Linked DNA regions of Arabidopsis thaliana. The protein of the gene in region 2 interacts with the protein of the main gene of each other region in a pairwise test. Each region holds a gene or a part of one and is shown on either strand. Other genes may lie near its edges.

What was found.
Region 1: the proteins of MEF8S (region 2) and AT2G28240 interact in a two-hybrid assay, tested with the Arabidopsis thaliana proteins (one large-scale study listed by BioGRID).

What each region holds. Positions count from the first base shown.
Region 1 is NC_003071.7:12,036,217-12,044,853, reverse strand, and holds AT2G28240 (ATP-dependent helicase family protein), read right to left. Parts: upstream 5,647-8,637; 5' UTR 5,582-5,646; intron 5,241-5,581; 5' UTR 5,206-5,240; coding exon 4,867-5,205; intron 4,779-4,866; coding exon 4,682-4,778; intron 4,588-4,681; coding exon 4,370-4,587; intron 4,286-4,369; coding exon 4,072-4,285; intron 3,999-4,071; coding exon 2,884-3,998; 3' UTR 2,679-2,883; downstream 1-2,678. Other genes in the region: NCRK (Protein kinase superfamily protein), read right to left, coding at 1-9, 99-353, 432-533, 614-706, 781-850; AT2G28230 (TATA-binding related factor (TRF) of subunit 20 of Mediator complex), read left to right, coding at 5,845-5,858, 5,959-6,370, 6,766-6,999; AT2G28225 (aspartic proteinase CDR1-like protein), read right to left, coding at 7,327-8,535.
Region 2 is NC_003075.7:15,656,815-15,664,793, forward strand, and holds MEF8S (Pentatricopeptide repeat (PPR) superfamily protein), read left to right. Parts: upstream 1-4,112; 5' UTR 4,113-4,277; coding exon 4,278-5,891; 3' UTR 5,892-6,065; downstream 6,066-7,979. Other genes in the region: AT4G32440 (Plant Tudor-like RNA-binding protein), read left to right, coding at 481-879, 1,144-1,833, 2,448-2,540; AT4G32460 (choice-of-anchor C domain protein, putative (Protein of unknown function, DUF642)), read right to left, coding at 6,222-6,748, 6,860-7,357, 7,973-7,979.

The DNA of each region.
Region 1 (8,637 bases), on a different chromosome or scaffold from region 2:
AGAAGCAACCTGAAGAAAACAAAACAAAAACAAGTTCTTATTTCCTCTTCTGTTTAACGTATCAACTCAAAGAAAGTAAGAGGGTAAAAATGATTGACCTGCCACTGAGGAGCTGATGCTAATTTTCGATTGTGAAACCGAGCTTTTACGGTTTATTAAGTTAGCAGAGCTATGCCAGCTAGATTCTCTATCTGAAGAGACTGAAGGGGTTTGTCCAGAAAACTTGTCCTTTCTACAAATGTAACAAATCATAGAGGCAAGGAATGCTAGTGAAATGAGTACACCGCAGAAGAGTAGTATAACTATAACGAGTTTCCTCGATAAATATTGCTTCTTTGAAGATTTTGTAGCACCTGGAAACAAGTAAGTAGACCAACTTATGATATAATCGACTAAGTTTGCAGTAGAACAATGGATATAGTAAACTATACCAGCAGAGCAGTTGCATGAAGTGAAGCATGACGAATTTGAACCACCAATGGCTATAACCGGAAATCCATTTGCAGGACACAAACATACCCATTGATCTCTGTCTGCTAACAAAAGAGAGAGTCAAAAAGTTAGTTTTCTCTAGAATATTGAAAATTTTCTAGTTGGTAAAGAGAAAACGAACCTGGTCTGCAATTACATGATGTGGAACAGTTAGATTCCAGGATATCACTTCGATTGCCCGAAGAGAAACACGTACATGTATAGTTGCTTACACCTAACAAAGAAACGTCATCAATTTAAATGAAACTCACACCATGTTTTTATATATGTTGCTGAGTAGAAACTAACCTCCATAACATTGTTGAATTGATATGAGAACCAAAAGGATCGCAAGTGCGGTTTCCACTCTCATCTTCATTGCCAGCGAGTGGAGATTAGATAAAGACCTTCATGTCGAACTAAGCTCAACCTCCAAGAGTGCAAGAATCTAAAACCTGAAACAAGTTATGTTTAGATTAGACCAGATTACAAGTAGAGTAGAATTTTTATAGAATTCACAGGTAAAACTACAGTGTAATGTGAATGAATGAGTTGGTGAACAGACATCGAAAAGATTCTAACTCTGTTACACCCACTATGAACCAAAAACATTCTATGATTTGGTCAAGAGTCTCCAATTCTTAAAAGGGCCCAGAGTTAGAAGAGAAAACAAGAAACTCATAGCGATAGATATACGGTCCACATCAATCATTTAAAGATCCATTGTCACTCATCTGATTCTGCAAAATCTTTAGTTCCCTCTAAAGTTAGTTGGCTATGTTTTCACATACAGACAACAAACATCATAACACAACAACCAAAACACTAAAAGAACCAAACAAGAGAGCTAATATAGATTACATTACCCTGCAAAGTGGTGAAGTTGAAGTAAGAACTACAGAGTCAAGAAAAGGAAGTTGCAGACAAGAGGATATTAAAAAGAAGTAATGGAGCATCTTGAAGGATATTGATTACTAAAATAATGTGATTAAAGAAATGATTGAGTATAGGATTAGTCAAAGAATGGCAAATACAATAATAAATGGAATGAAAACAGACCAACCACCAATAGAAAGAAACGGGCATTGCAAATCTGAGAGTGACCTTTCAACCATTATAGTAATCAAAGAGGCAGAATCATTGAAAAGCTCTTAACTTTAAACTGTTTACTAATGGCAAAATCTTTATATTATAATCAAAACATCTTAAACTTTACCAAAATTGATAAATATTAGATTTTGTGAATCTTAACAAGAACTATATGATGATACTGTAACTTAGCTCACATGACTCTTTCTTTATGAACTTGACATTGTAGATTCTTGATCCAAAATTATAGACAAACCAAATTAGATAGAGCCAAAAAGGACTTTGCTTTTAAGGAAAAGCAAAACGTTGGTCGAAGCAAACTGTTGAAATTTGTTAGGACCCAGAATTTCCGGTGTCGGTTGTCAGGAACCGGTTTAAAACCCGGTTTTTGATTGTGGGACTCACAATTCCCGGTGTCGGTTGTCGGAAACCGGTTTAAAAAACCGGTTTTCGATTGTAGGACCTGTTTCCTCCACCATTGACCGAAAAAATCTAACTTTTTGATGGAAAGAATCATGTCCCACAAATTCAATGATGCTCTCTCCAAGTAAAAGGTGAAGTTTTTGGGGAACCCCATTTCATGATTTCTTCATACATGTAGGGAAATGAATTGAAAACGCATATTTAATGAGAAACCCACCTTAATATGAAGAAGCAACAATGTCGATTTTTGAGGATTTGGAGCTTGCTACAGCTTATAGTAGAACAGAGAGTACCAGCATTGGAGCTAAAACGCAAACGCGAAATGGAGCAAAACCGCGTTTGTAGTTGAGTTTCCAGCAAAGATAAAACTTTTTCCTTGAAGGAGAAACGAATCCCTTTCCACAGTCAAATCAGAATGAGAATTAAGAAATCTAAAACGCGAAATAAACAGAGGAGTCCACGCGACTGCGTTTGCGTTAGCGTTTGTGGTCGAGTGGAGTCACTAAACTAGTGAACTGATGTATCGAGGGGGGCGATTTTAAAAAGAGTTCATTTATTAGAGATCGGGGTATGTCACGTGCCACGTGGCGCTAAATTGATATCAGAGATTCGCTGCATGAAAAATATTTTCAAAACTCGAAGTAAGGAGAAAAAAAGTATTTTGAAAATTCCTATAGAGTAAAAATAACAGAATTATGTAAATAAATTTTGATTAAACTGCAAATTTGTGAAAAATATTTTAGTTAACTTACTTGATATTCTCCAAAAAATTAGTATTCGAAATGATCCTTCGTACAAGGCATTCTCAAATGTTTTAAAGGGCCTCTCGAACTTATATATTCCCTTAAGAGAAACTTCAAAAACTATATACTGATGTTATATACTCCCAAAGATTTGTCACTAGTCGTCATCTGAGAGATAGACCAAGCTACTGTTTGACTTCTTTTGTTGTTGCTTTTGTTGTTCTTGAGCCAACCTTGGATATGTTGATGGTGCAGCAGCAGAGTTGGGAGCTCGAGATGATCTTAAATGAGGTGCCATGGTCCTTCGCGCTATACCATGCACTGGTGGAGCAGAAGCTGGTTGATAAGAAGTTGGAGTATGGTTGGAGATTAAAGGCGGTGGTCTTGGCTGAGGTGTGTTGCAGGGCGGTGATTGCAGAGATATAGCTTTTGATGTGACTGAGGGTCGAGGATGGGGAGTTGAATTGATTTCTGTGTTTGATTGTTTTGCTGGTGGTTGAGATACTGGTTTTGGCTGAGGCGTTTTGCTGCGTGGTTGATGTAAAGGACGGGCTTCTGTTGTGACTGAGGGTCGAGGAAGGGCGGTTGAATTGATGATATCCGTCTTGGATTGTACTGCTGGTTGCTGAGATATTGGTTTTGGCTGAGGAGCCTTGCAGCTTGATTGATGTAAAGGAGGGGCTTCTGCTGTGACTAAGGGTCGAGGAAGGGCGGTTGAATTGATATCTGTGTTGGCTTGTACTAAAGCTTTCTGAGGTATTGGTCTTGGCTGAGGCGTGTTGCTGTGTGGTTGATGTAACAGACGAGCTTCTGCTGTGATTGAGGGTCGAGGAAGGGCGGTTGAAGTGATATTTGTGTTGGATTGTGCTAATGCTTGTTGTGGTATTGGTCTTGGCTGAGACGTGTTGCTGTGTGGTTGATGTAAAGGACGAGCTTCTGCTGTAACAGAGGGTCGAGGAAGGGCGGTTGATTGCATCTGTGTGTTTGATTCTACTGCTGCTTGCTGAGATATTGGACTTGGTTGAGGAGTGTTGCAGTGCGGGAGAGGAGCTGAAAGATTTGGAGGTGTAGCTTCCGCTGCTGTGACTGAGGGTCGAGGAGGAGCAGTTGAATTCATAGGTTCAGCTGCTGTGACTGAGGGTCGAGGAGGAGCAGCCGAATTCATAGGTTCAGCTGCTGTGACTGAGGGTCGAGGAGGAGCAGTTGAATTCATATGCCTGTTAGTTTGCACTGCTTGCTGCTGCTGCGTTGAATGTTGAGAGCTCCTGGGTGCTAAAAAAAGGGAAGAGAATTAGTGTCGCTGTTTAGCTCATTTGCTTTATCCAATTATACTCTTCAACTTTACCTCTTACGGTAGCAGTATCAGTGGCTGCACTCTTCACTGGACAAGTAGACTTGTAAGCATTCGCCAAGAGACTGTTCATAACAACCAAACTCCTTAACGCTTCATTCTTCTTCGCTTGAGCGTTATACGCAGCATCTACCTCTTGGGATTTCCTATCATACTCACTGCGTGCTTCCGCCATCTTCCTCTCGAGTTCAGCCTTCAACTCTAATGTCTGCTTACAAACAACGAGACAATGAGCAGAGAGGACAGGAAACCGAATAAAGATAGATTAACCAAGAATTAGAAAAAGACTAACCGTCTCTTCAAAGCTTTTCAGTAAGGTCCCTTGTTCTCTGCTCAGCTTCTCCAGCTCGTGGTCACATATGTCACTGAACGAAGATAAATGTAACCGAGGACTCTGTCCCATATGATTGTTGGGAAGAGACGTAACCGCTGATGCATTGACTGTTAATCTGCTATGTAAGACGTTAGGAGGCTGAACACCACCTTCAACGACATCCTCTGAATGGTTAACTACACAACGATCACAACATACAAAAATCTTAACATTCTAGCACACCAACTATAATTAAAGCATAGCGATCACTATCAATGGGCAGATCCTGACCTAAAGGAGTCGATGTAGAAGTCCAATGCTCCGCTGCTGTTGTGATATTTTGGACGGGAACTGACGAAGATGGTGGACAACCCGTACCTTGAGCTCTCTGTAGACGAAAAATCTAATTCGTAAGCACAATAAACGATCTGAAACCAACAAAGAGTAACAGTCGTTTTCAAGAAGCAGCAAGTAACCTGATCTGATCTAGCAGAACCTTGAATATCTAATATAGAGGCATGGTCTGGAAAACGACTCGAAAACTCTTGAACCAAAATGGCATCAGCATCATGACTTGTTCTATTACTTTCTTCTCTAATCAACGGCGCTTCCTCTACATTCAAAGGTAACTCTAAGGAAGCAGCTCCGGAAACTGAAACCGGTGGCATCACTGTGTCACAAACCATATCTTCAGTCAAAACCTCAGGTATATTTGCTGAAGACACCATTCCAGGCCCATCTAGTTGAGTACTACCCGATTTACTCTGCGCTTTTGGTAAAGAATCTGTAACTTCTTGAGTTTCCATTGGAACCATAACATCAAATTGCTTTCACCAGTGAAGAGGTTTAGCTACACATCATAACATATCTCAGTCTATTAGAGAAAACAAAACCAAGCTATTCAAATTTACAATCTTTGAAGAACACAAACACACTAATCACCGAGAAGTTGAAAATGAGAGTGACACTTTAACAATCATAGTAGCAAAACATAGAATCAACGAAATTAAAACCATATTATATATAAAAATCGTAACTTTATTCCCAAATTTCATATATGCTAGATTGTGAAGAACCATTTTTTTCAATTCGATTTTGAAATAAAAAAGATCCGTGAAAATAAAATTGCGAGTTATTGTTTGAGAATTGAAAGAGAAGAAAACCCAGAACCGAAAATAGACTTAACCCTACCTTAAAATGAAGAAACAAATGTCGGATTCAAGGTTCTTCTTCCTCGTCTACGTGAAGTCCAGGTTAAGAACAGTTAATAGAATCAAGAGACATGGAGTATTTAATTAAGCTGTGTTGGGCCACATTTATTAAGCTGTTTTGGGCCTTCGGCCCATACCTCAATTTCGATTGGGTTTGTTGATATAACATATACATATGTTTTTTTTATTTTTTGTTGTGTCAGTTTCGAACAGTGTTTGTTTTGTCATTCTCCCTCAACAACAATGCCCGTCAAGTGGTAAGCTTTGATCCAATTTCGTTTTCCAAAATCTCGATTTTTTTCGTTTCTGTTCTGATTACTCTTCCGATTCTTGTATTTGGGTTTTGTTTTTTTCTAGGGTTTTACATTGGCAACCAAACCAAGGATCAACAGTAAGCAGCCAAATCCTAAACGAAGCAACACAATGTGTAGAGAGCATCAATGGTGTGAAAGAAGGAAGATGGAAAGCAACACTCAACTATTACAAACCCATGTTAAAAGACCAAGCGAATCAATTGGAGTTTCCTCGTGATTTTCTAGGGATTTCACTTGCGGATCAGCCGAATAAGTACTATTTCATTATCAGGACGCAGAGGATTGTCTTGGAAGCTGATTCTTCGATTCAGTTGATTATGGAGAAGCTTCAGTCTTATAAATCTAAAGTGGCTCTTTACTTTGATGGGTTTCAGTATCAGCTTGGTGATTTTAGGTTGAGAGTTGGTAAAGTTGTTCCTACTCATTCTGAGAATGTTAGAGGCATTGTCATGGAGGTAAACAAAGTTTCCAGCTTTTTCTTGTTTAAGACAGATATGATGAACACTGAACAGTGGTGATTAATTTTAAAGATGAAAATCTTGTTTTTCTACAGATTTTTCTTGTTAAAAGAGTTTCTTGTAATATCTTTTAGTGATGATCCTTGATGCTGTTTATGATGTTAAGACAGATGATGAAAATTGAACATTGTTGATTGTTGACTATGCATCTACAAGTTTCTTTAGTCTTGTTTCGTGTAATCACAATGATGATGAAAAAATCCTTGTTTTCTTAAATCCCTATAGTCTCAATGCTAATCTAATCACCTAAAGGGTATATGGAGCTGTTCCCTTTTGGTGATTGTCTTGTTTCTTGTAATCTCAATTTTGAGTTTGTGTGTTGTTACTTGCAGGTGGAGTATCTTCCTATATCATCAATGGAAAAGGCACAAAAGGTGATGGAGGAGTTCTTGGAGATATGGAATGAAGCTCTGGCTAAAAGGTCGTTGCCGGGTAAGTTTGTGAACATAGATCTCAACTTTGGGGAGTTTGGACTTGGAGACATCTACACTCCACAACACACAGCTGTTCGTTACGCTCTCGTGATGGCTCACATGATTGCTACCGTTCAAGCTGTGAGAGGCTAAACCAAAACATAACTTAGTATTTCTAGGTAAAATTATGTGCTTTGCAATATTAGTGATTTCTTTCTTTGGTCATGTTTATCTATAAGAAGCATTGAGAAAAAATGAACTTATAAAAGACTTTGATAGAACAAGTTGCAAACTCCAGAAAAAACTTGAGATTATAGCAGATTGTGATTTGAATTTCGATTAATTGTGTAACTCATTCGCATATTTTTTCATTTAAACATGTCTATGTCATATGCTTTTAGTGACAGTACAAATAAATCGAAACAAAACTGAAGTTAAAACCATGAAAATGTAGAAAAGAGAATCTCTTGGTTTGTTTCTTCAACTCCACAAAGCAGAACAATTAGTGGGACTGAAAGAAATCACATTTGAAGAAGGATCATAACCCACCAAAAAATTGTTCTGCGCTCTGTTCCCAAAGACAGCAGGCATTGACGGATCATTACACCCAATAGCCAAACAAAAGATTCCTCCGGTAATCGTTTCGAGATACATATTATACTTATCCAAGACAAGATCCGCACCGCCAGAAAAATGCATTGTGATCACGGGAAAGATATCTATGGTGTCCGAGTAGTAGCAAAGCAAGTTGTCACTGCCCATGTCAGGTACTTTAACTGCTGTCACAACCTGTTCCACTGCCTCCCTCACTAGGTTGCAGTAGCTCATTGGAAAGTACGTGAGAGTGGTTCCTGAGTCTATAAAAATGTTCCCGTCTTCGGCATGAAACGGTGTCCCCAATGTCGCAATCAGGTTGTCCTCAACGCTGACCGCGTCTAGGTTTAGATAATAGAAAGGATTATCTTTCTTGATAAACATATCGGCTGCTACCGTTCCATCTCCTGCCACAATGGCATTTGTTCCAAAATTGATCTTACTAGTTCCTTGACCAGAAAAGCAGTAAGAGATAAGACCTGGGTAGGGTAAGTCCATCTGAGATATAAGCGACAAAGGTCCCATATTTAGACCAACAATGCCGGAAGAACTCGATGCAAACCCTGAGTACTGGAGGTTTGTGTTGTCGAGGCCACAACCAATTTTTGTTTCAGCCATCACAAAGGGCTCTCCTGAAGTGGAAGGTATCGTGACCGTCTCGGTTGCCAAGATTCCCTTGGAATAGGTTTTGTCCGCGTAGATAATCTCGTAATGACAAGAGTTTCCATTGCATCTTTGTTCTCTGAAGGTTGAAGATTTCGAAGGGTCGAATATAGGAGCGAATTGGCTGTAGCAGTTAGGACAAGGCATACATTGTGTCCATATGATGTCACTTCCCGTGTCTATCTCCGCTACGATCTCGAAAGGAGGAGTACCGACTTGTAGTTTCATTAGATAGATGCTGTAGTCATATAAAGTATCGGCGTAAGGTGATGCTCCTTGCAACTGATTTTTGGACAGCCGAGACGAAGATGAATTCGAACGACGCTGGATCAAGTCAATGGTGAAGCCGTGAGGTGATGAGGCAGTGGTCGTGAAGAGAAAACATGTAATGATTTGAAGAAAAAGAACGATCATTGTGGTTGCAAGAGACATTGATTGATATCGAGTAATATTTTTGGTTTTTCAGACACAATGTAATGTTCTTTATTAATTCATGCACATATTTATACATGTTAGACCTTTTGTCGTAATTGT
Region 2 (7,979 bases):
TGATCTCTTGTTTCAGTTTTTCTCCCTTTTTGTTGATTGTTTCAATATTGGTGTTTTATCCTTCGATCTCTATGAAAGTTGTTTCAATTGGATCGAGATTCTTCGCTGTTTATTGATTTTACGATACCCTTTTCAATCGTTTGGAAGTTTTTTTGGTTTGTCCTAATTCGAATTATTCTTGCTGTCTGAAGAATCTGTTTGGAAGTAAATTTGGATTAATCTTGCTTAGCTTGTATCTCCTGTGATTGATCGCGATTACGTTGGTTCTTCTTTCTGTTTACGCATAATTTTACTGATTCATCTAAATTTTGTTGCGGCTTTCTTATGATCTGTGTTCCAGAGTTTGTGGATTATTACATCAAACTATATGTTTTTAGAGTTGTTTGTTTTATTAAGAATGTATGATCTTCTGCTTTGGATGTTTGCTCACATATGGATATTTCTCTTTTGCAGGTATTCTAGTCGACTGAGTAAACAATCATGAGAATCAGAAAAGGAAGTAGAGTTGAGGTATTTAGCAACAAAGAGGCGCCTTATGGTGCGTGGCGATGTGCTGAGATTGTCTCGGGTAATGGACATACCTACAATGTTAGATTTTACTCTTTCCAAATTGAACACGAGGAGGCAGTTATGGAGAAAGTTCCAAGGAAGATAATTAGGCCTTGTCCTCCACTTGTGGATGTTGAGAGATGGGATACTGGTGAATTGGTGGAAGTTCTTGATAATTTTTCCTGGAAAGCTGCCACAGTTCGAGAGGAGTTATCTGGACATTACTATGTGGTTCGCTTACTTGGGACTCCAGAAGAACTCACATTTCACAAAGTTAACCTCAGGGCCCGAAAGTCGTGGCAAGATGAGAGATGGGTTGCAATTGGAAAGGTAATTTATTTTCATCCTATATGTTATGCTCTCACTTTTTACATCTAATATACTCTTGTTAATGTCTTTTTTTCTTTTCTTTTCTCCATTAAGATTTCCGGCTTAGTCATGATGTCCCCTCTTCCATTTCTAAGAAGTTCTGGGTCTGGTTGGGGGTGGCAATCTGCATTGTCTTGCTACGATATTGTTTGTTTGAAATGATTTTTTAACTAATGTGCTGATGAGCTTACATGTTGACTAACTGGCTTGTAATCATTTTCTCAGATATCTGGTTCTCTGAAGTCATCCACACTGACTGGATCAGACGTACATCAGAAGCTACAGCCCCACAGGAACAGCATGCCTCTCCACGAGCCTAGCGTGGTCTCTGCTAGATTGTTAAAGAGGCCGTCACCTTACAACTGGTCTGAATGTGCTGAATCATGTACAGGAAACCCTAAGAAGATGCGTTCATTGGAAAAAGAAGGACAGCAGCAAAAGGTAGATGCCATTTCTTGCCGACCAGAAAACAGGGGTGGTAAATCTCACGTGCAAGCTTCCTTAAACAATCACAAAACTGGTTACTGTCAAATTGTCAGGGTAAGATCAAAAGGGTTTAGTGAGAGTGTTCGTGCTGATGATTGTTCTGATAGCGATGTATGCTCAGTTGGTAGTTGTAGTGCTACTAGTTATGATGAGAGTAACATGCCACCTTGTATGCTAGATGGCTCTACTCAACAGGCAGACTCATGTAGCAGCGATGCTGAATCTTCTTGTGGCCTGGGGGAAGAACCAAGGTGGAAACATTCATCAGTTGGTGATGGAGCAAGAAATTCTTGTAGGTCGGAACTATATTCTTACCGCAGTACTCTGGGGGAATTATTTTCTTCTGGTCCCCTAAGTTGGGAGCAAGAAGCATCATTAACTGATCTTCGTCTTTCTCTTAATATATCAGATGATGAACATTTGATGGAGGTAAGAAATTTGATATCTACTGGTACCCGCAGTCAATTTTGTTAGTATCAATCAGAATTCAAATTTTTCTTTTTGATTTCTATGGTCAAGTCTGATCTACCTGTCTTGGATATACTTTCCTGAAATGTGGAATCAACTGTCATATATTGTTCTTTTTCCAGTGGATTTTATAAGTGTATAGACAGCAGATACAAGTATGTATGGAAATTCTGATTAGAATGAAAGTTTCCGAGGTTCTTTTCTATTGCTTTATCAGATTTCCCTTAGATTCCTTTATTGTAATTCCTGGAGGATGTTAAAGCAAAATTCATGTATCGATACTCTGAGATGTCATATTTTGAAGGGCTGTCTTCTGTTCATTAAATCTGTAATATCAATTTTATAGCACGATTTTCTGTTCCTCGTTTCGTGTTAACTTTCCACACTTGTGTGTTGATATACTTGATAACAAGATGGGTCAATCGTATTTTCCTATGTGGATTTTACTTCAGTGCAATATGAAGTCTGAATGTCTCATCTATTGAGTGCTCCTTCCTGTAGCTCTATGAAATGTGTTAGTGTGAGTTTCCTAGTCATTCCTCTGAACAATATTGATTTCCCCCTGCATTTTTCAGGAACAATGTTGCCTTATCCGGGCATGCAGACCTTTTGCTTCTAGAGGTCTAACTCTGATGCTGGGGTTTACACCTTCTCCCTTGACCATCTGAGTGGTGCAATACCATACCTGTTCTCCCTCAAAACATAACTGACTTCTATGCCATTTTTATTTTGTCGCTATCTTGATATTGCGGCTTGTTTCAGGGGCTTCTTTCAGGTGTCCTGGAGTCTACTTTGTCCACAGGGACTGAATGCTGTGGTTTGAGCAGGCTTCCTTATTTGCAGTCTGGTTGGATAATTTTGCTGACATCATGTCAAGTTCTGAGTAATATTTCTTTACACTTTTTCGTTCACTCGATATATGTTGCGGTGCTATCTTTTGTGGTGTTGTGTCTCCTCTGGTTGCTTTCTTAGAAGTGCATGATGTAGATGCTACCATATTTTTACTATTACTAGCTCTCTAAGCCTAATACGTTTAGATGTAGAACACAACGTTGTTTCAGTTACATTGGTTCTATTTTCGGTGTTTTTTCCAGACGCATAGCCTATTGATGCTTATTCTTTCTGGAAATAAGTGTTGTGGCCTACTGAGAGGTAAGTGTGCAATGGCATGAATGGGGTTAATGTAATAGATGCTCATCCAGAAAATGTGTTTGTGATCGGTGTTGATTCGTTATTCTGATTTGTTCTCATGACTTACTTTCATGGAAAATTATCGAGATGAACGGGAACACATGCCTGCTTTCTTACTTAGTTTGTCGCATGTGCATTGTGATCGGAGATTGTCCAAGCTCACTCTTCAGATGTCTCCAGCAAAGGTAGGTTGTTTGCATGGCAGTATGAAACTCTGAAGCAGAATCCATTAATTTTCACAAAGGTATGGATCCTTTTGAAAGATGTGTCGTGGTTCTTCAAAGTTTAACATGTTTTTCTTGAGTAGTTTGCTTGCTTATAGAATCAAAACGAGTTTCGTATCTTCAACCAGACTTTCTTTGGCAATTAGTTACTACTGCTACTTATGCAATGCAACCTCTGGCAATATTGATTGATTTGCGTTATGTTTTAATGGTTATGAAAACTGACTCTTCGATATAAGAACTTGTGAAGTAAAAACTCTATGTGATGAAATTATGAATGCTGAGGATGTTGTTATTACGAGCAATGAGATGTCTTTTTTTAAAAAAAAAAATTTGGTTGCTTGCTTGCAAGAGGACATCTTAGCATCAAATTTGAAACCGAAAGCTGACTCAATTCTGGTAACTACTGGCAGTAACAAGAAAACAAGTCATGAACCTGCAATTTCATTCTAATTCTACACAAGATGCAAATCTCAACTTAAATTCACTTTTAAAACTTGTTATTATTGTAAATTTTTTGAATAATACAGTTGGAAGTAAAAATCCACCGTACCAGTGTACCGGTAACGTGGAAGTATAAACCAATTCGCCAATCTCTTTCTTCCTATCACAATTTAAAGACAGCGACAAAATTAGACGGTTAGAATGCTGAGTTATACCGGGTTATTAAGATAACCTTTGTTTTCGTTAACCGAACAAACGCGACTGAGTTTCACTGGGAAAAAAAAAAAAAGAAGAAGCTTCTTTAGCTTTTGTGACGAATAGGAGGGAACTGAGTTTTAGGTTCGTCTTGATACGGCTTACTCTGTGAATCGAGAAGAAATTGAATTCGTTTTTTTCGTCTTTCTCTGCAAATTAACCCATTTGACTGTTTGTAGTTTCTTTCGCAGATTTATAAAGTTGGTCTTCTTCTCTTCTAATCGGATCGATTCTGCTTCCGGTTAACCGGTTTTGTTCCCCGGCGACAATCAGCAATCTCCTCCCCGGCCAATGATATACACGTTGACGAGAGGTTCGCTTCTCGGCTCTACCTGTAAGCTACGCTACTCTTCTTTATTTTCTTATCTGAGCACAGCTGCGCTGAGATTGGGTTTTGAAAACCCTACTAATGGAAATCCGATGGATAATTCTTCGCATCACATTGGTTATGTAAATGGGTTTAACGGTGGAGAACAATCGCTTGGTGGGTTTCAGCAGAATTCATATGAGCAGAGCTTAAACCCTGTTTCTGGGCAGAATCCGACGAATAGGTTTTATCAAAACGGATACAATCGGAATCAGAGTTATGGGGAACATAGTGAAATTATTAATCAGAGAAATCAAAATTGGCAAAGTAGTGATGGTTGTTCCTCGTATGGAACTACTGGAAATGGAGTTCCACAAGAGAATAATACTGGTGGGAATCATTTTCAGCAAGATCATAGTGGTCATAGCTCGTTGGACGAATTGGATTCGATTTGCAGAGAAGGGAAGGTTAAAAAAGCTGTTGAAATTATTAAATCATGGAGAAATGAGGGTTATGTTGTGGATTTACCTAGACTGTTTTGGATAGCACAGCTTTGTGGAGATGCACAAGCTTTACAAGAAGCCAAAGTTGTTCATGAGTTTATTACTTCTTCGGTTGGGATTTCAGATATCAGCGCTTACAACTCGATAATCGAAATGTACTCTGGTTGTGGTTCTGTGGAAGATGCATTAACCGTTTTCAATAGTATGCCTGAGAGAAACTTGGAGACTTGGTGTGGTGTTATAAGGTGTTTTGCAAAGAATGGGCAAGGGGAAGACGCCATTGATACGTTCTCTCGGTTTAAACAAGAAGGAAACAAACCTGATGGTGAAATGTTTAAAGAGATCTTCTTTGCGTGTGGTGTTCTTGGTGACATGAACGAGGGACTGTTGCACTTTGAGTCCATGTACAAAGAGTATGGAATTATCCCTTGTATGGAACATTACGTGAGCCTCGTTAAAATGTTGGCGGAGCCTGGTTATTTAGATGAAGCCTTGAGATTTGTTGAATCGATGGAACCAAATGTAGATTTGTGGGAAACCCTGATGAATCTATCACGGGTTCATGGGGATTTAATTCTTGGCGACCGGTGTCAAGATATGGTTGAGCAGCTTGATGCAAGTAGACTGAACAAAGAGTCAAAGGCGGGTCTTGTACCTGTGAAATCATCAGACCTAGTAAAAGAGAAATTACAAAGAATGGCCAAAGGGCCAAATTATGGGATTCGATATATGGCAGCTGGAGATATTTCTCGTCCAGAAAACAGAGAGTTGTATATGGCATTGAAGAGTTTAAAGGAGCATATGATAGAAATTGGTTATGTACCTCTATCTAAACTTGCATTGCACGACGTGGACCAAGAGAGCAAAGACGAAAACCTTTTCAATCATAATGAGAGATTCGCTTTCATCTCGACATTTCTTGACACTCCTGCGCGTTCGTTAATACGAGTAATGAAAAATCTACGTGTATGCGCAGATTGCCATAACGCATTGAAGTTGATGTCAAAGATAGTTGGGAGAGAGTTGATTTCGCGAGATGCAAAGAGGTTTCACCATATGAAAGATGGTGTTTGCTCCTGTAGAGAGTATTGGTAACGTCTTTCCACACAGAGAGGAGGAGCAAACACACATTTAAGGATTACAATGGAAACATGGTTTTAGTGTTCATTTTTTTTTGCAGGATGTTTTGTATTTGTCCACTCAGTGAGGAAGAAACATTCTTAAATCACAAGATCATAAAATTTCACGGTTCGATATGATTGACCAGAGTAATTTCTTTTTTCTTTGTCAAATAACATTAAGCTTTAAAACAACAACAAAAACAGTGGGCCACTGGGCCTAAAAGCCCAATTTCTCACTAGACGCGAGAAACCCACAGTGACTGTCATCATTCATTGTCCCGTGAATCAACTCGTCGCCGCAAGCTCACGGCCTCCGAGCACTGAGAAGCTTAACGTCGTCGATCACCGGTCCACATAAGCTCGAGAAATCGTCGTTTCTCATCGCGTAAAACGTACTGTAGAACATAACTCTAGTCCGACTCGAGACAGCGACGAATCTCAATGACGATCGCTTGAATCCTCCTTTCCCTTTCGATTCATACGGGACCTTGATCGTGTCTTTTCCGGCGAAAGCTTCGACGATCATTGATCCGGCGCAAGCGTTGCTAGCATCTCCGACAGAGAAGGATAGGACGTAGGTTTTTCCAGGGATAGTGCGGACAACTTGTGCGACGGCGCTTTCTTTCCCGGCGACGAGTTCGACGGCGCGACGGCCTTGAGGAACGGAGAAATGATCGGAATCTATGTATTTGACAGCTTTAAGAGACTCGACCATCCAACCAGGTAACGGAGAGTGATCGTCGATGGAGTTTGGTGGAATCAAAACACCAGATGATATGTTTGGTAAAACCCAAGGACCTTCTTCGAATCCTCCGTTCTTTAGAATGTTCTCTGCAAAACAAAAATAAACCCAACATGTTTTAGATATTTCCGTATTTGCCCCATTAAGAATATTTTTATTCAAACGAGACCCCAAATTAAGTATAAGAAAAGAGCACTCACTATTGGTGGGACGAGGAGGGAAAAGGGCTCGCATAGCAACACCATCAATGAGAGGTCCACAAGCAGGATCTTCCTCAACACCTGGATTATGTATCACTATATCTGCATAGTCACTTTGGGCCTTAAAAGCCCACGAATACAAATCCCAACCTGAGCTACTATACACTGTTTGTATCGGCATCACTGCATGGTGAGGAGCCACGGAAACGTTTAACCGCTCGTCTTGTGCGCATGTTCGAGCAGCACTGAACGTTATCGAATAGTACGACCCTTTCTTAACGCTGATTTTTTGTTTGATTGAGGCTTCGTTGCCTAGACGTACTGCGAATGCGCCTTTAGGCACGACAAGGATCATGTCGCCTTGTTTGTGTCCTGAGGGAATGTACTCGACAAAGCCTGAGAGTTCCCAGTTTGGGATTGCTGTTATGTTGATAACTTGTGTTCCTTTCATGTCCGAATGTCGTGGACCGAGTTCGAAGTCACCGTTTGGTAGTAGTCCTGTTTTGTTTTGTTAATGTAATCAAGTTACAAAAACAAAACTAGTTAGGGATTTGTTGTGAAATTTGATTTAAACGATAGTGATTTGCTGACAATAATATTTGAACTTCAACTGCATCTAGTCACCTAAAATTGACAGTGATTCTAGGTAAACAAATTCTCAATCTTGCTATTTTAGATCTGTATATGAATAAACAAGTGATCAGTGTATAATAATTGAATAAAAAGTTGGAAGTATGAAATATTTAAATGATTAAAAAGGTTAGTTACAGATGGGAAGGTGAGGGTAATTTAGTGACACATTTATTGAAAACGATTGACTAAACACCATGTGCATTTACAGATCTGTCTCGGCGTAGTGTTCAACATGTTCGTCAAGCTAATAGGTCATTCTTCATGATTTGTGGTGCAATATAAATGAATTATTTTGACGACAAACAAAATTTTGGACACACAAGTTATAAGAAGCTGTACAAATTTTTATAACACGAATTTCTTAAATACTAGAATATTGTTGGAACTCACTACGAGTTTCTTTTGTTGGTTTGGCTAGTATATAGACAAGATACGAAAATGCGAGATTTCTACGGAAAAGATAAAGAACGAGGGATTTACCATCATT